Arabidopsis thaliana: one gene and its partners. The protein of the gene in region 1 interacts with the protein of each later gene in a biochemical or structural test. Each region holds a gene or a part of one and is shown in the gene's direction. Other genes may lie near its edges.

What was found.
Region 2: of the proteins of SAC52 (region 1) and NIK1, one has a biochemical effect on the other in vitro, tested with the Arabidopsis thaliana proteins (2 studies listed by BioGRID).
Region 3: of the proteins of SAC52 (region 1) and NIK2, one has a biochemical effect on the other in vitro, tested with the Arabidopsis thaliana proteins (one study listed by BioGRID).

The regions. Positions count from the first base shown.
Region 1 is NC_003070.9:4,886,105-4,891,116, forward strand, and holds SAC52 (Ribosomal protein L16p/L10e family protein), read left to right. Parts: upstream 1-2,009; 5' UTR 2,010-2,165; coding exon 2,166-2,175; exon of another isoform or gene 2,176-2,325; intron 2,326-2,444; coding exon 2,445-2,946; intron 2,947-3,041; coding exon 3,042-3,123; intron 3,124-3,235; coding exon 3,236-3,304; 3' UTR 3,305-3,600; downstream 3,601-5,012. Other genes in the region: AT1G14310 (Haloacid dehalogenase-like hydrolase (HAD) superfamily protein), read left to right, coding at 1-9, 107-180, 304-397, 502-568; AT1G14315 (F-box and associated interaction domains-containing protein), read right to left, coding at 757-1,273, 1,435-1,829; AT1G14330 (Galactose oxidase/kelch repeat superfamily protein), read right to left, coding at 4,271-5,012.
Region 2 is NC_003076.8:5,220,935-5,227,911, forward strand, and holds NIK1 (NSP-interacting kinase 1), read left to right. Parts: upstream 1-2,999; 5' UTR 3,000-3,329; coding exon 3,330-3,453; intron 3,454-3,637; coding exon 3,638-3,770; intron 3,771-3,859; coding exon 3,860-3,931; intron 3,932-4,035; coding exon 4,036-4,179; intron 4,180-4,274; coding exon 4,275-4,346; intron 4,347-4,445; coding exon 4,446-4,505; intron 4,506-4,589; coding exon 4,590-4,687; intron 4,688-4,770; coding exon 4,771-4,920; intron 4,921-5,005; coding exon 5,006-6,069; 3' UTR 6,070-6,354; downstream 6,355-6,977.
Region 3 is NC_003074.8:9,278,638-9,285,438, reverse strand, and holds NIK2 (NSP-interacting kinase 2), read left to right. Parts: upstream 1-2,578; 5' UTR 2,579-2,878; coding exon 2,879-3,005; intron 3,006-3,095; coding exon 3,096-3,225; intron 3,226-3,310; coding exon 3,311-3,382; intron 3,383-3,470; coding exon 3,471-3,614; intron 3,615-3,710; coding exon of another isoform or gene 3,711-3,713; coding exon 3,714-3,785; intron 3,786-3,873; coding exon 3,874-3,933; intron 3,934-4,089; coding exon 4,090-4,187; intron 4,188-4,287; coding exon 4,288-4,440; intron 4,441-4,535; coding exon 4,536-4,877; intron 4,878-4,954; coding exon 4,955-5,334; intron 5,335-5,427; coding exon 5,428-5,746; coding exon of another isoform or gene 5,747-5,757; exon of another isoform or gene 5,758-5,842; coding exon 5,843-5,889; coding exon of another isoform or gene 5,890-5,908; 3' UTR 5,909-5,926; downstream 5,927-6,801. Other genes in the region: AT3G25550 (F-box family protein), read right to left, coding at 5,852-5,908, 6,004-6,325, 6,401-6,561.

The DNA.
Region 1 (5,012 bases):
CATAGATATGTAAGCTTTGTCATGTTTTGTTATATAAACCAGAAGTCTGAGTACCAAAGTTAACACCATGAATGGTAATCGTTTATAATGCTTGCATCTCTTGCAGGTTCGATGCTGTGATTGTATCCGCAGAAGTCGGATACGAGAAGCCTGATGAACGAATCTTCAAATCTGCGTTAGGTATTGGCATATTGCATTCTAAACTGAAGTGTTGTTTCGTTTAAATTATAAGAAAGGTTTCAGAGTTAACATTTTGTGTCAAGCGGAGAACAAATTAACGTTAACATTTTGTGTCAAGCGCAGAACAAATCAGCGTAGATGTAAACAGAGCAGTGCATGTCGGAGATGATGAAGGAGCTGATAAAGGCGGAGCAAACGCCATCGGTATTGCTTGTTGGTGCGCCAAATATACTTTTCATCTTGTTTTTTCCGAGGTTTTTAAATTCTCATCCATCATAACACATAGTGCTTTTTGTTTATCTGTTTTCTTTGAAAATTTAGGTTGTGGGGAGAAGATGTGCAGACATTTTCGGACATACAAAAGCGGATCTTGGTTTCAGAACTCTAAGCTTCAAAGATTTTGTTCTGCAATATTTTTCAGACCCTGTACACACTTACTCAATCAACACTGTAATCTGTCTCTTTAAAAATTTAATTAATAATGAAAAAGCTGCAAACTTGGACAACAAGAATCTAAAATTTAAATCAAATAGATGGATCCACGAGAAGCAAACAAAAAGAAGAAAATGGTGAAAGTTACAATATAGAGATTAAACTCTCGAAATAACAAAAAACACTATCTCCGCAACGATAGGTGCCTATGGAAACTGAATCAACAGATTTGGTTTTGATATCATATATCATCAGCTGTCTACTATTTGATCTAGGACAACACAAAAGCTTATTCTTCTCCAAAATGGCTACTGGTAATGATTGCGTAACACTACGATTCACTATCGAATATATTTGTTCCCAGGTCTTGTTCTCTGAATTGAACGACCATATTATCATTTGTTGGAGAGGTTTACTAACCGATAAGCACAAACGGTTATTCAGGCTGCGTGTGATAATGTTTCTATGATCTGCTTCCGCAAAAGGAGCTTTAGAGATAACTTGAAAAGTTTCGGTGTGGAGATCTAACGCTAAAACTTTAATTTCTTTCTTCCCGGTTAACCAATAAAGCGATCCATCTACATACAGAGCATGCCCCCGAGACGAGGAAGTATTAATCCGATAAGGAGAAGAAGGATTGATATACCTCCAAGTGTTGGTGCTAAAATCAAAAACTTCACATGTAGTAGCGTTTTCTAGGCCAAGTTCGGAAGAGTTATACATAACCAAACCGGTTTGTATATGCCACTGATTTTGTCTTTGCCAAATCCAAATTTAACGTGACTAAAATAACTTGGCTGCTCAAGACAGATTTGTTGCAACCTGGAAACAGGGAAACGTCGATGCCATCGAGTGGCGGGATTATAAACAATGTTGTTTAAGGTTTGGTAATCAAAGAGGCAAACAAGACCGTCACAACTATTGTGGAAAAGTTGGTAAATATGATATCGTTCTGATGATATCAACAACACGTTAGTTTTAAGTGGAGGAGAATCAGCAGTAACATGATGGGGCAACACCAACGTACTGGGTACTTCAGACACCAATACAAGATTTAGATCTTTCCCGCCAGCTGAGCAGATCAACTGTTTCGCCTGGAAATATTGAGATTCGATTGTCAACTTCCATTGTTTGCAAGCAGACTTGAATCTGAGCAGAGATTTCACCGGAACTCTCTCAAGAATATCCTCAACGGTGTCGTGGGGAAGCAATTGCATTATTTCTCTGTCTATTGAGAGGATTTTGTTCTGAGTGATGGATAACATGAAAGATATGCTTATTTGTATCAATTCAATCCAATGTTGATTTTTTCCTTGAGGAGGAAGATAAAAAAAAAAAAACGTATATACAATCGATGGGCCCTAACCCTATCCCTAACAAATCTCTTTAATATGTAATGCGCTTTAATAGTTAAAGCCCATTAGTTAAAAACCCAGAGCTATATTGTTGACCTAGCAAATTTCGGATCTATAAATTGAAGCCATTTTCTAGGTCATTAGTTTTTTCGTCGAGCAGCCGCGCTTTTTGGCCGAGGAAGGATAAAGAGAGACGCCATGGGAAGAAGTAAGTTTCTCTCGATCTCTTGTGACTTCTCTGTCAGGATTTCTGTGTTCTTCCGATTCCTCCATGGATTTAATTAACCAAATGTTCTCTCTTTGTTGCGATTTTGAGATTCTGCGATTCAGTTTTTCTATTCATCGGATAAATGATTAGGTTTATATAGTTTCTCTTTAGATACCAATTGATTGATTAGGTTTTTATATACTGTGATGATTTTGAGCTATATGAGTTTGGTCTGAGCTGAAATCTGAATAATCTGAATATTGATTTAGGACCTGCGAGGTGTTACCGTCAGATCAAGGGTAAGCCATACCCAAAGTCTCGCTACTGTCGTGGTGTGCCAGATCCAAAAATCAGGATCTACGATGTTGGTATGAAGAGGAAGGGTGTTGATGAGTTTCCATTCTGTGTCCATTTGGTGTCATGGGAGAAGGAGAATGTGTCAAGTGAAGCACTTGAAGCTGCCCGTATTGCTTGCAACAAGTACATGGTGAAGTCTGCTGGAAAAGATGCTTTTCATTTGAGGATTAGGGTTCATCCTTTCCATGTTCTCAGGATTAACAAGATGCTTTCGTGTGCTGGAGCTGATAGGCTTCAGACTGGTATGAGAGGTGCTTTTGGTAAAGCTTTGGGTACTTGTGCTCGTGTTGCTATTGGACAGGTTCTTTTGTCTGTTCGTTGCAAGGATGCCCATGGTCACCATGCTCAAGAGGCTCTTCGTCGTGCTAAGTTCAAGTTCCCTGGTCGTCAAAAGATTATTGTCAGCAGGAAATGGTATGTTCAAAGATTGATCCTTGAATCATTTTGTTGTTTGATTGTTTTATGGATACAAGTAAGCTAACTCATCAAGTCTTTGACTTTTTTTTCAGGGGCTTCACGAAGTTTAACAGAGCTGACTTCACCAAGTTGAGGCAAGAGAAGCGTGTTGTCCCTGATGGTGTCAACGCTAAGGTATTATTGGCTTTACATCAGAATTGTCACTCTTTGATCCTATAGCAGTGATAGTTATCATTGGAAATATCATTTGTTGTTGAATTGAACAATGTTTTCGTTTTTTTTTCAGTTCCTCTCATGCCATGGACCTTTGGCTAACCGTCAGCCGGGAAGTGCCTTTTTGCCAGCCCACTACTGAAGAGTATCAGAACTGAAGTATCCTTCTCATTCCGGTGAAGAAGAATTATAATCAGCCTGAATCTTTTTACTTATCGTTATCTCTGGTGTTGTTTTAAGTTTTTAGTTGGACACAATCAGTATTCTGAATCTTTTTGTGACTCTTTTGTTTAAGCTCTGAAATGATTTTGTTCCTTCGTTCTTGGCCATATATCTTTCATTTGCAAGTTTTATCATGGCTTTAGCTTTAAATATTTTAATTGAAGATTTGCTTGAAAATCGTTGAAGTTTTAGATAGAGATGGGTGATTGCCTTGTTGGATCATTTAGTATGCATAAAAGATTTGAAATTAGCATAGCAAGCCCATCTTAGGTATTGTCATGCAAGGCTGAGAGTTCAAAGAGAAAATGACAGAGACCTACCTACACGTCAAAATCAGATGCAAACTGCCATTTTCCTGATTAAGTCTATCTTTGTTTTTTTTACTTTTCAAAGAATTAATTGCCATAATTTCTGAAGAAGGAAGCAAAAATCCCAAAACAGAGAACCAAGAGAAAGGAGAAAAATTGAAAAGTTTATGGTATTACTTGCAAGCAAAAGATCAAGTTATCTTGCAAACAACAACTATAAGATTAAAAGCTCTTTTTCTTCTCTTATCAGAGAATTGAAAGAAGAACACACAAAACACATAATATAGTCTCTTTGCGAAAAAATGAATGAAACGAATATAAACAAAAATTTTAACAAATAGTATAGCAGAACTGAAAAACTCTAGATTCTGAACTTTCTCCACCAAACTTATTACAAGACCTGTTTCTGTTCTTTCCAAGAAACTAACAATACCACCAAGATGATTGTATCCAATTGAATTCAAATAAATTTCTTTTATAACCAAAATTAATAAGAAAAAAAAGACTGCAACTTTCGACATCTCCAACGGCAGGAGAATCATAAAAATCATCTGAAAGTTATTGTTGAAACCCTTTTATCAGCAACCCATCACCGCGCAATTGTAAACAAAATTCGATGAATGTTTCCTACCGAGCAATGTCCATAGAGGCGGACTTCGATCACTAGATGGTATCCATGAATTCAGTTCAATGTACCCTCCACCTGAACTCCTAGGACCACCAATCACAATCAACCTCTCACCGCAAGCTCTAAACGCTAATCCCCAACCGTTAACCGAGTCAGCTCTTTCGGGCAATCTCCCTAAAGTAAACCATTTCTTACTCTCCTTATCATACTTCCTCACTTCCATATCAGCATGATCAGCAGCATACAATTCGTTATTCACAACCGCAACAAGAGGCGGCGCCTCTGCTGCTGCCGGCATTTCCCGGCTCCTTGGAGGCGACATTTCCGGTATCTCAGTCCATTTCTTCGTCTCTAAATCAAACTCCTCACCACAAGTAAGCACTTTCGAATCATTTCCACCAATTCCTCCAATCACATAGAACTTCCCATCCATGAAAACACCTGAACACATCTTCCTTGGTTTATTCATCTTCGGAAGTGTAGTCCAAGTCTGAAGCTCGGAGTTATACATCTCAGCGGAATCACTGATTTTGCCAAAAGAATCAAAACCACCAGCAAAGATCGCAATCTCTCCTAGACTCGCTGAGCCAAACAAACACCTCGGAGAATTCATCCTCATACCGGAAGACCAAGAGTTAGTCAAAAGACTATATCTATATATAACATGAGAAGAGTAATCATCTTTGCCTAAC
Region 2 (6,977 bases), on another chromosome or scaffold:
TTTCAATTTTAGGGTTCTATCGAATTAGGGATTTTTTGAATTGGGGGTTTTCTGAATTTAGTCGGGTTGTTTGGGTAATAAAACGGGTTGGTTTATGTGTTAATCCGATTTAGTTTCGTTCTTATACGGTTAATGTTGTTTCGGGTACAGTAAACCAACGATAAACCACGAAATTCAAAATTTTGTGGACTGAAGATTTGAACTTTTGATTTAGGGAGACTGAGGTTTAGAACTTTCATTTGGTGTGGATTGGAGACGAGGTCCGAAATCTGTGAAGTTGTGAGTGTATATGAAACTTCCCATAGGAACACAGGTCGTTCACCCTAGTTATAATCATTATATTCCAATAGACCATGCAAATACAATTATTGAGGTATTTTATTCAAATGGAACCCCAAATTAATTTCAAAATTTCATGATTTCAACGGATTCTAGGAAACATTATGATTATAAATTGTTTGTTATTGTCTACTTGATGACTAACAGTCCACTTAATTTCAGGAATTGTTAGTGTAATATTCAAAAAAGAAAAGCTTCCATTCCATATGCTCTTAAATACTTTTTAATTTTGTGTTATTAGGCCTAATACAGTGTAAGGAAACTAATACTTTTAGCCACCTTAATCAAGTATATAAACCGTCTTTGGATATCAAATAATAATCATAATCTATAATCTATAGTAAAATCTCATTTTCGTCTAACCAAGAATTTGATGACAATTAGGTGAGTGAAAAAAAGACAAATACAAAACTCTAAGTGAGAAAAAACAAAGTCTTAGACAATCGGGTGTATCGAATTAATTATACATTGCCAAGCATATATAGACAATGTAATGGCTGTAAATGGCAGAAGTAGTTTGAATCTTCATAACCGATTTAGAACACTTGAAATAAAATAAAACGATGAGCAATTTGTCATTGTGTAATGTGTATATATATGTTGTGACTAACAACTTTTGTATCAAATTTTAAACTAATTTACAAAATCTGAAGACTGTAGTAATCACGGGAAAAAAACTTTCGTGAGTTCATATAAAACTATGGCCAATAATCTAATATAACCAATCATGCAGTCTCCCTAACATGATTGAAGTTGAGACAATTTAGCTTCAGTGCCCTAGGCATAGGACTCAAGTTGGGAACCATTTTTCCCTATCTGCATTCTGCACAATAGTTCATGTCATGTTTTGTAATCTTATAAAAATTTATGATTTTCATTTTTGTTTCCCCTGAAAGTCACAGAACCCATTTACCATCAAACGTCAAATCAACGAGAAAAAGCATTAAATATTAATGATTGTTTCTCATAAATCGAGTTTTAAGAAACCGTGTCACGTGGAGACCAAACTATAAAAACTTGACTAGGAATGAAAGTAGTTCTTGAACAAGGAAATTTTATATATTGTTTGTTCACCACAAATTTAGAATATTTGTTTTTGTTTCTTTCCTTTTGGTTTACAGGTCGGTACGCATTGATGAAGATAACGATGATGTACGAATGTGAATATATATAGTTAAATAAATAGAACCTTGCAAAATCATTTTTAATGTGTGCTCCATTACAAGAAAAATAAATGATTCACATGTATTCTTACTAAGTAAACAACATTTCTTGATATAGTAAACACATATTACGTACTTTGTTGATCGAAATCAGAATCTAAGCAAATATTATTGTGTAATTTTTCTGTTAACCAACTTTTCGAAACAAGATAATTTGACGTTAAGTTTCAAAAATTTGGTTAAGGGAAAAATGAAATTACAAGATATATTTACTAGTTTATGTAATATTATAAAAAAACTTCTCCAAAATTTCAGATGATTGAAATCTTTAAAAGCCAGCATAACTATAATGAATGATGATAATTAAGTATTTCACTTAACCAGGTAAACCATATTCGTTTTAAGATCATATAGTAGTATATACTTCGAACAAATGCAAATGCATGTCATAATATTACTGCCAACTCACACATAGACAAAAACCCATGAAAACGACACGAGGTTTGGACAAATTGTAATGTCTTGGACTTGGATACTGGGTTATCTTATACATCTATTATTACTACACACTACAAAATATTGAAAATCTTATTGTGAATATAAATCTTGTAGTAGTCAAATAAAAAAAGAGTGGGTTAAAATATTTGCATTTTGACTATTAAGAAAAGGTGTTGTATTCTGAAATTTGTTATCTATACAGATTTGTTTTCCTGATGGAAGTTAAATGTGATCGTTGCTCTTAGTGGGATTTATCGAATTTATTTCTTTTAGATCTAAATTTTTTAAAAGACTATTATAAATAATTAACTTACAACATTTTTTTGAAGAAAAAAAAGCTTATCCTTCAATACTTGTACTAATATCTTCGTATTTCCACACATCGAGAAGACAAAGATGCTGAAAATTTGAGTGGGCAACAAAATCAATATAGTAGACAGAAGTATCTTGAGCCTAGTTTTTCATACAGTATAATCTTCTCATCGAAGTTCTCACATTCTCAAAACATATTAATCAAAAAAAAAAAAAAAAATTGCATACAAAAACATTCTATATACGGAGGAATTAATAAAGTCTAGCCTATGCATGACCAACCATGGATTGTTGGGTTCCGTTTACACCAAGCAATCAGTCAACAATGTGATTTAATCATACCCTTGAAACTTAACAACTCTTTTTCATCAGATTTCAACACTCGAAAAACAATCTATGTAAGTGTAATGTGAAATAAATTAAGAAATAGGAAAATGTAACAAAAACACTGTATATTCTAAACTAAAATTAGAAACCATAGACAAAAACATGACAGGGTGGCAGCTAGCAAAAGAACAGTAATCTAATTTCCTGCTTTACCCTTCAAAATTTTTGAAATACACAAAATATAGATTTGCTTTACTGACTATTCTTGTCGATTACAAGAAACAATATGGGCAAAATTATTTTTATAATATCTTTTCTTACAAATTTTTAATATAAATTTATTACTTTTTTAACGGTCTCCCCACACACAAACTTTATCGACAAGCATGCTATTCTAATTTCACTTTAGACTACCAATGAATCTGGTATCTCTATAAAGTTTGTATATCTTGTTTCTGACATACAAAAAAATAGTTTTTTTTAAAATAAAGGTTATGCTTTTGGTGAAGTGGGTTCATCTTGATGTTGAAATGTTTTTATACTTTAACCAAAATTGAAATGAAAAAAGGATAGAGATTTGGTTTTTTGATTCTTCCAATCTCACTCTCTCTGTCTTTCTCTCTCCATCAAATACCAAATTATCTGGAAGCTGAGTACATCTTGTTTTCTGCTCATTCCTCTGTTTCAACAATGGAGAGTACTATTGTTATGATGATGATGATAACAAGATCTTTCTTTTGCTTCTTGGGATTTTTATGCCTTCTCTGCTCTTCTGTTCACGGATTGCTTTCTCCTAAAGGTGTTAACTTTGAAGGTATATTCACTGTAAAGTCTCACTCTTTGGATTCTCTCTCTTTTTTTTTTTTTTACATTGTCACTTTCGTAGATGAAGTGTTTGATATTTGGTCTTTCTGGAATTTTTAGTTGATGGGAATTCAAATAAAAGTATATATTTCTTCTTGATCCAAACTAATATGGGAGTTTTTTATTTTCGTCAGTGCAAGCTTTGATGGACATAAAAGCTTCATTACATGATCCTCATGGTGTTCTTGATAACTGGGATAGAGATGCTGTTGATCCTTGTAGTTGGACAATGGTCACTTGTTCTTCTGAAAACTTTGTCATTGGCTTGTAAGTTTCACATTTTACATTGATACACTTATACTGTATATTACACTGATGAGCAAGCAAGGAAAACAATGATATAAATTTTATTACAGAGGCACACCAAGTCAGAATTTATCTGGTACACTATCTCCAAGCATTACCAACTTAACAAATCTTCGGATTGTGTAAGTACTTACTGTTCACTAAATGATTATTAAGTTTAAAATTTGATTAAATTCTTCTGTTTTGTGTGTGTGTGTGTGTTCTTGATGATTTTTTCCTCTTACAGGCTGTTGCAGAACAACAACATAAAAGGAAAAATTCCTGCTGAGATTGGTCGGCTTACGAGGCTTGAGACTCTTGATCTTTCTGATAATTTCTTCCACGGTGAAATTCCTTTTTCAGTAGGCTATCTACAAAGCCTGCAATATCTGTAAGAATAGTAAAAATTTGTTATGGATCTTTTAAATTTTGTGTTGTTTTTATAAGGAATTTGTGATCTTGATATGTCATGTTGTGTATCATCAGGAGGCTTAACAACAATTCTCTCTCTGGAGTGTTTCCTCTGTCACTATCTAATATGACTCAACTTGCCTTTCTGTAAGCTAATAAATCTTCAGTTTACATTAACCAGTAAAGAAATTCATATGTAGAGACATGAAATGTTGAGATTTGATCTGTTTTTTTTTTTGTTTCCAGTGATTTATCATACAACAATCTTAGTGGTCCTGTTCCAAGATTTGCTGCAAAGACGTTTAGGTAATTTGATTTATTGACAATGTCTCACTCTTTCACTCTCTTTGTCCGTATGATAACCTTTCATTGTTTCCCTTCGGATTACAGCATCGTTGGGAACCCGCTGATATGTCCAACGGGTACCGAACCAGACTGCAATGGAACAACATTGATACCTATGTCTATGAACTTGAATCAAACTGGAGGTAAATAACGAACTTCCTTTAAAACTTTCAATCTTAGTATTATGATCATACCTAACTAACAACAAACTGCTTTCTTTTTTAAGTTCCTTTATACGCCGGTGGATCGAGGAATCACAAAATGGCAATCGCTGTTGGATCCAGCGTTGGGACTGTATCATTAATCTTCATTGCTGTTGGTTTGTTTCTCTGGTGGAGACAAAGACATAACCAAAACACATTCTTTGATGTTAAAGGTTTGATCTTACTCAGTTTATTACTTGCACAGAACAATCTTATAAAGTTTTTTTTTTTTATAAAGAAAGTTCTTTTATTCAACAGATGGGAATCATCATGAGGAAGTTTCACTTGGAAACCTGAGGAGATTTGGTTTCAGGGAGCTTCAGATTGCGACCAATAACTTCAGCAGTAAGAACTTATTGGGGAAAGGTGGCTATGGAAATGTATACAAAGGAATACTTGGAGATAGTACAGTGGTTGCAGTGAAAAGGCTTAAAGATGGAGGAGCATTGGGAGGAGAGATTCAGTTTCAGACAGAAGTTGAAATGATCAGTTTAGCTGTTCATCGAAATCTCTTAAGACTCTACGGTTTCTGCATCACACAAACTGAGAAGCTTCTAGTTTATCCTTATATGTCTAATGGAAGCGTTGCATCTCGAATGAAAGCAAAACCTGTTCTTGACTGGAGCATAAGGAAGAGGATAGCCATAGGAGCTGCAAGAGGGCTTGTGTATCTCCATGAGCAATGTGATCCGAAGATTATCCACCGCGATGTCAAAGCAGCGAATATACTTCTTGATGACTACTGTGAAGCTGTGGTTGGCGATTTTGGTTTAGCTAAACTCTTGGATCATCAAGATTCTCATGTGACAACCGCGGTTAGAGGCACGGTGGGTCACATTGCTCCAGAGTATCTCTCAACTGGTCAATCCTCTGAGAAAACAGATGTTTTTGGCTTCGGGATTCTTCTTCTTGAGCTTGTAACCGGACAAAGAGCTTTTGAGTTTGGTAAAGCGGCTAACCAGAAAGGTGTGATGCTTGATTGGGTTAAAAAGATTCATCAAGAGAAGAAACTTGAGCTACTTGTGGATAAAGAGTTGTTGAAGAAGAAGAGCTACGATGAGATTGAGTTAGACGAAATGGTAAGAGTAGCTTTGTTGTGCACACAGTACCTGCCAGGACATAGACCAAAAATGTCTGAAGTTGTTCGAATGCTGGAAGGAGATGGACTTGCAGAGAAATGGGAAGCTTCTCAAAGATCAGACAGTGTTTCAAAATGTAGCAACAGGATAAATGAATTGATGTCATCTTCAGACAGATACTCTGATCTTACCGATGACTCTAGTTTACTTGTGCAAGCAATGGAGCTCTCTGGTCCTAGATGAAATCTATACATGAATCTGAAGAAGAAGAAGAACATGCATCTGTTTCTTGAATCAAGAGGGATTCTTGTTTTTTTGTATAATAGAGAGGTTTTTTGGAGGGAAATGTTGTGTCTCTGTAACTGTATAGGCTTGTTGTGTAAGAAGTTATTACTGCACTTAGGGTTAATTCAAAGTTCTTTACATAAAAAATGATTAGTTGCGTTGAATAGAGGGAACACTTTGGGAGATTTCATGTGTGAAATTTGGGAATTCATGTTTGAGAATGAAATTTATCTTATTATTGGATCCAACTCCACAAGTTAAAAATTTTCATTAATGCAAACTAGTTTCATTGTTTGTTTTGCACACACACCTGACCTACTGATAGGAAAAGGTAAAGTGAAAAAAAGAAGAAATGTCTCTCATAAAGACAACACGTAGTTCATATGTTGCCAAAACTTAAACGGAACTTTACTTTCGTTTTCAATGGATGATGAAACGTCGAGAATGTGTTTTCAAGAAAACGGCATGAAGTTGTTCTCTCCGTCAAAGAAACGACGTGTTTGTGTATATAAGGAAACACCACGTGGACGTGGACCGTCCATGAAATATAAAAACGGCAATAATCTATGTATACATGGTTCACACTAGATTCAAAGTCACACTTTATACCTACAAATGGAAACGTTCACACAATAGCTTCATCAAAGTCAGAATCACATATAGTGATATGATTTGGTTTGATAACATTAACAATATGCAAAGTCAAGAATTACACGCACATTCTATACGTTTATATGAAAGAAAAAGACAGTTAAAAAGCGAATCATATCTGCATAATTGCATCTGATCTCATGTCGGTGTCTCCTTAATCCTTAAGTATTTCTTATCAAAAAATTTGTGGCTATTAATAGAAGAGAACTAGAGAG
Region 3 (6,801 bases), on another chromosome or scaffold:
CTAAATTGGATAGAAAATTAGGACACACATAAGATGTACATGACACAGTCAATAACATGATTTTTATACTATTAACCATTTACATTGTAAGATTTTGATGTGGCTATATATGTTCATAACTAGAGATGTGCAATCTGATTTTGATGTAGAGTTTTTTTTTTCCGGTTGCTATCATTCTTATGCATATATTTGATGCTTATAAGTCCATTTCATATTTCCTTTAATTTGTTTTTATAGAGGAAAATTTCATTAATGATTTATTTCATGGACTAATACAGTTTTATTCGAAAGACGAGCAGATAATTATAACAAAATAATCAACGAATCATAATTAATATCAGTCAGTCACTATTATTTTTTAACTGTCAGAGATTTCAAACAAAACTAATATCAAGTACAATCAATCTTGATATCTCATTATTATGCATACAAAGTTACAATGCGGTTGCAAATTCATGAGACGTGGTCAAAGAAAACGATGATGATGAAGAAGAAATAAGCAATTTGTTATGTTAATACTTAGTATCACACGTGTATCCATGCACACGACATACAAATCATGACATTATCCCGAAAAAAACCAAAATAAAATTGTAGTATATGAAATAAATGATAATGCACTAAGAAATTAGAGTAATGATGAAAGATAGAGGAGAACAGCTTTTGCTTTATAAAGCAGTTTGCTTTTGTGGTTTAAAAAGTGGCTTGTCTGTTGACTAATCACTGCGTAGACAAAGATTTGATTTTTGTGTTTGTATATAAGCTTAGCAGTTGCTCGATCCAATAATTTCTTCATCAATCATTTTTTCATTGTGCAGTAGTAAAGTAATGAAGTACTAGACTCATGTAAAATAATAATATACGCACATCCGATTGGGAACAACATGGTAGAAAAAAATATCAAATTTCCATATATGTTAATCGAAAGACAAAATGGGGGAAAATCACTATTTTATAACATTAAGTCGCATCATTATTAATTTCTTGATCAACTTAACTATAACTATTATGTACTACATTTGGTAAGTTCTTTTCAAACTTTTGTTTTCTCTAACAATTTTCTTTTATTTTAGACCAAATGTTAAGCTCTCAATCATTATTTCTTCTTTTGGAATTTCGAGTTTTGTAGTTTTCTCATTTTAACTTCATTTCGATCATATGTTTTCCGTCTTATCAAGTTCTAATTCTACCCTCTAAAGTACCATCTAATATTCCACCGCTTAAAATATCCAATTGACATTGTCACATTCGGAAGAAAAGAAAACCATCCATTTGGCGAAAGCACATGTTATATTATCAACAAACAACATTGATAAACGATATTTAATTTCAAATGGTTGACAAAACATATTTTAGCACGAATTTAGAGCATAGATAGAAAAAGGATCAAATATCTTAATATAATTAATGAATAGTTATGAAGATATTAACATATATTAACTGTGATGAGTGGGAATAAAAACAGAGTTAAAGGGAGTCATTAAAAAAGAAAAAGAAAAGTTCTAAGTCACAGACTCACAGTATATCTCATCGACACAACGAGTGTCCCACTATTATAATTTTATAATTCACAGTTTATTTAACTTTGCGTTACATCACAATAATTTTCACACTTTATCACTTCGAGGCCACTTGGTTATTCTTCCCGGAATATAAATGCTTTATTAATAACAGATTAATGGTGCTTAGTGCTTACCATATAAATTCACTTTTCACCTGCTCTAATTGATTAATAGTATGATGTATTTTTTTTTATGAAGGCTTATCTTAGGTCTAATTGATTATCGTTTGTTGCTTTCCTACATCCGAGAACAGGTTGAGTCTATTAATCCTCTAGACTTAGAACACAACCAGGTCTTCGAATCCAAATACATTACTTCAAAAAAAAGTCTAAAGAGTAAGTAACATATCTATTGATTTTATAACCCAAAAAACATATTAATTGATTTTTTGTTTTTAGTACATATTCGATTTGGTAGCATCATCCCTTTTTAAAGAGCAAGGCTGGTAAATCCACTAGCTCACACCATTGTCCATGTACCAGTATAACTATGCAACATTCAATACAACATTTCACATAATTATTTATTTTCAATATTAAATCTTAAGTTTTTCTAAAACAGTTGATTGTCTAGAAAAATACATTTTCTTCAAAGCAAATATACATAATTGAAATTGAAAACAGTCGATTGCCAATGAGTTGATTTAAAAGAAAACAAAATTATTTATTAAACCAAAAAAATCGTACATATGTAATATTTCATCATTGTTAAACTCATTTGTATATTTTTTATGATATAGATATATTTTGTTTTGTGTCTTTTTTTTTTTCACCAATTTTGTTTTGTGTCTACGATTGTATAGTAAACCATCTTTGCATTTTTGTAATTTTAAGCACTACAATATAGTTTTTTTTCAATAATTTATTCTCATATATGTAAAAAACGAAGTCGAATTCTGGTAAGAGAGACGAAATTAAATAAATGGACCCATATTTGTAGATAACTTAATATAAATCAAGTTTTTTTTTTTGTGTGCGCGAAGTATATAAACCATAAAAATCTTATAGAATTCTGTTTTTTTATCACATGATTGAAAACTAAACATTTCCCGATTTTGTCTCTGGCCTTTTCCAGTTTACAGTCTAGAGGACCATTAGATAAATAATTGGCAGACAAATCTTTCTCTTTCTCTTTCCCTCTTTAACTCTCACTCACAAATACTTCCAAATCAAAATCCTCTGTTCCATCTTTTTCTTAAAAACCTCCAAACAAAGAATCGAAAAAAAGAATATTTCTTATACAAAAGAAATAAACCTCAAACTCTGCACCTTAGAGATTAATACTCTCAAGAAAAACAAGTTTTGATTCGGACAAAGATGTTGCAAGGAAGAAGAGAAGCAAAAAAGAGTTATGCTTTGTTCTCTTCAACTTTCTTCTTCTTCTTTATCTGTTTTCTTTCTTCTTCTTCTGCAGAACTCACAGACAAAGGTGTTAACTTTGAAGGTAATGTTCATCAACAAAATCTTCCCCCACTTCTCAGTTTCTCCTTTTTTCTTCCTAAAACATGCTTTTCTTTTTTTGTTTCTTCTTTAGTTGTTGCCTTAATAGGAATCAAAAGCTCACTGACTGATCCTCATGGAGTTCTAATGAATTGGGATGACACAGCAGTTGATCCATGTAGCTGGAACATGATCACTTGTTCTGATGGTTTTGTCATAAGGCTGTAAGCACTTACACACCAACACACACACACACACACACATATATGTAATCATGTGTTTACAGTTTTTACTATTGTGTGTATGTAGAGAAGCTCCAAGCCAAAACTTATCAGGAACTCTTTCATCAAGTATTGGAAATTTAACAAATCTTCAAACTGTGTAAGTATGTTTTGTAGTAATTATTAAAACATTGTTTCTTCATCTCTTAATCACTTTAGTTTTCTAATAATTTTGTTTGGAGATACAGGTTATTGCAGAACAATTACATAACAGGAAACATCCCTCATGAGATTGGGAAATTGATGAAACTCAAAACACTTGATCTCTCTACCAATAACTTCACTGGTCAAATCCCATTCACTCTTTCTTACTCCAAAAATCTTCAGTACTTGTATGATTTTATCCATTTTTTCGTTTTGTTTATTTTATCATATTTTTTATATAAATTATTTATGGAGAGATTATTTTTGTGTTGAAAATTGTGGAGCAGGAGGGTTAATAATAACAGCCTGACAGGAACAATTCCTAGCTCATTGGCAAACATGACCCAACTCACTTTTTTGTACATTCTCTTTCTTTTATTTTCTTCTTTAAATTATATTTTACATATATAAATCTGTGTTTATATATATTTTGTAAATGTTTTTCAGGGATTTGTCGTATAATAACTTGAGTGGACCAGTTCCAAGATCACTTGCCAAAACATTCAAGTAAGTCTATTTACGAGAAAGAATATTTGTCTGCTCTGTTTTACTCTGTTCTGAGAAAGTAACAGTGTAATTGTGTTTTTCTTTTCTCTGTAATTTATCCACTTTTATACGTTACCCTAATTATATTATATAGTTTTTATTTAACTTGTTATGCAGTGTTATGGGCAATTCTCAGATTTGTCCAACAGGAACTGAGAAAGACTGTAATGGGACTCAGCCTAAGCCAATGTCAATCACCTTGAACAGTTCTCAAAGTAATATCTAAATTTTCAATATTTTAAAGTAATATTTGAATCCTAGAGAATATATCTAAACTGATTTTTCTTTTCTTCTTGTTGTTGTTGTTGTTGTTAGATAAATCATCTGATGGAGGAACTAAAAACCGGAAAATCGCGGTAGTCTTCGGTGTAAGCTTGACATGTGTTTGCTTGTTGATCATTGGCTTTGGTTTTCTTCTTTGGTGGAGAAGAAGACATAACAAACAAGTATTATTCTTTGACATTAATGGTAAGACCCACAATGACATTTTTAATCCCTTTTCGTTAACTGTTGAATGTGAAACCAGACAAATGTGAGTGTGTGAATTTTTGGGTCTTACACAGAGCAAAACAAGGAAGAAATGTGTCTAGGGAATCTAAGGAGGTTTAATTTCAAAGAACTTCAATCCGCAACTAGTAACTTCAGCAGCAAGAATCTGGTCGGAAAAGGAGGGTTTGGAAATGTGTATAAAGGTTGTCTTCATGATGGAAGTATCATCGCGGTGAAGAGATTAAAGGATATAAACAATGGTGGTGGAGAGGTTCAGTTTCAGACAGAGCTTGAAATGATAAGCCTTGCCGTCCACCGGAATCTCCTCCGCTTATACGGTTTCTGTACTACTTCCTCTGAACGGCTTCTCGTTTATCCTTACATGTCCAATGGCAGTGTCGCTTCTCGTCTCAAAGGTAGTTAATTAAACACCTTGATTTTGATTTCTTTACATGAATTGACCCGGTTTACGATTCGTGTGAATGGTTTGCAGCTAAACCGGTATTGGATTGGGGCACAAGAAAGCGAATAGCATTAGGAGCAGGAAGAGGGTTGCTGTATTTGCATGAGCAATGTGATCCAAAGATCATTCACCGTGATGTCAAAGCTGCGAACATACTTCTTGACGATTACTTTGAAGCTGTTGTCGGAGATTTCGGGTTGGCTAAGCTTTTGGATCATGAGGAGTCGCATGTGACAACCGCCGTGAGAGGAACAGTGGGTCACATTGCACCTGAGTATCTCTCAACAGGACAATCTTCTGAGAAGACAGATGTGTTCGGTTTCGGGATTCTTCTTCTCGAATTGATTACTGGATTGAGAGCTCTTGAATTCGGAAAAGCAGCAAACCAAAGAGGAGCGATACTTGATTGGGTAAGAAGTAAAAGAGTAAAACATTTTCTCTTCTTGTTTCAGTTAGCTTAAAAATACTCACTTCTAGGGTTTTTTCTTTGGGGTTACTTGTAGGTAAAGAAACTACAACAAGAGAAGAAGCTAGAACAGATAGTAGACAAGGATTTGAAGAGCAACTACGATAGAATAGAAGTGGAAGAAATGGTTCAAGTGGCTTTGCTTTGTACACAGTATCTTCCCATTCACCGTCCTAAGATGTCTGAAGTTGTGAGAATGCTTGAAGGCGATGGTCTTGTTGAGAAATGGGAAGCTTCTTCTCAGAGAGCAGAAACCAATAGAAGTTACAGTAAACCTAACGAGTTTTCTTCCTCTGAACGTTATTCGGATCTTACAGATGATTCCTCGGTGCTGGTTCAAGCCATGGAGTTATCAGGTCCAAGATGACAAGAGAAACTATATGAATGGCTTTGGGTTTGTAAAAAACATATATAAGATTGTGTATTTTGTTGTATGCTGTGATCTTGTACAGGTTTTGGTATCAGAAAGACATATTCTCATGCTTTATCCCATGATTAGGAGGAGGTGGAATCACCGCCTCCATTTCGTAGAAACGAAATCGAAAACCTCGCATGTCATCGTCGATGAGGTTTCCTCTTTTATTTTCTTCTTTGTTTTGGTACGTAACCACACTAGTTTGTATGTTCCTGTGACGCTGTCTTTTCCAAACCCGAGGCGAGAGAACTCTACCTTGTTGCTGTCTAAATAATTCTTTCGTTGAATCCTAGCAAGAGGGAGCTTCTTAGACCATCTTGTGTCTGGATTTATCACCATAATTGGCTGTTTCATGTCCACACCACTATATAAACAAAAAAGACCATCCACACTCTTGGAAAATAGTATCCGCCTCTCTTTGTGTTTCTTGCTAGTTAAATATTCTTCTTCTCCCACTAGACGACTCAAAGACCACTCCAACCTCATGGTCTTGTAACGAATGCTTGGCTTAGACCCGTTTCTTCTAACTTCATAGAGACAGAGAAATTTGGGTTCTTTTGTTTTCTGATGCAACATGTATTTCTTCCTGATTTACCTAGACTTTATCGTATGCCTCCAGTGTTTAGACACGGTTTGGAATCTAGTTAGGGTTTTCACTGGAAGCCTTACTATAATCTCTTCCAACACATCGTCGTTTGGTATCTTAATAACCTGTCTTCTTCTTCTTTTGCTTTCTCTTCCATGATGCATGATCATCTCCTGCTTCTTCTTCTCTTCTTCGTCTTCTTCTTTCGGTTTCTCTTTCAATATCTCTTGCGTGATATTCACTTCTTCTTTTTCTTCCTCTCTCTGAAGAGGACGAAGCAATCTTTCCCATGATATGTGTTGGCTTATTTTGGGATGAAGAAAATTCGTTTCGTTTTACAAAGATTGTAACCAAAACGGGGAAGTGTCTTCAGTCAAGTGGTTCCACATTTTTCACTTGAGTTCGACTCC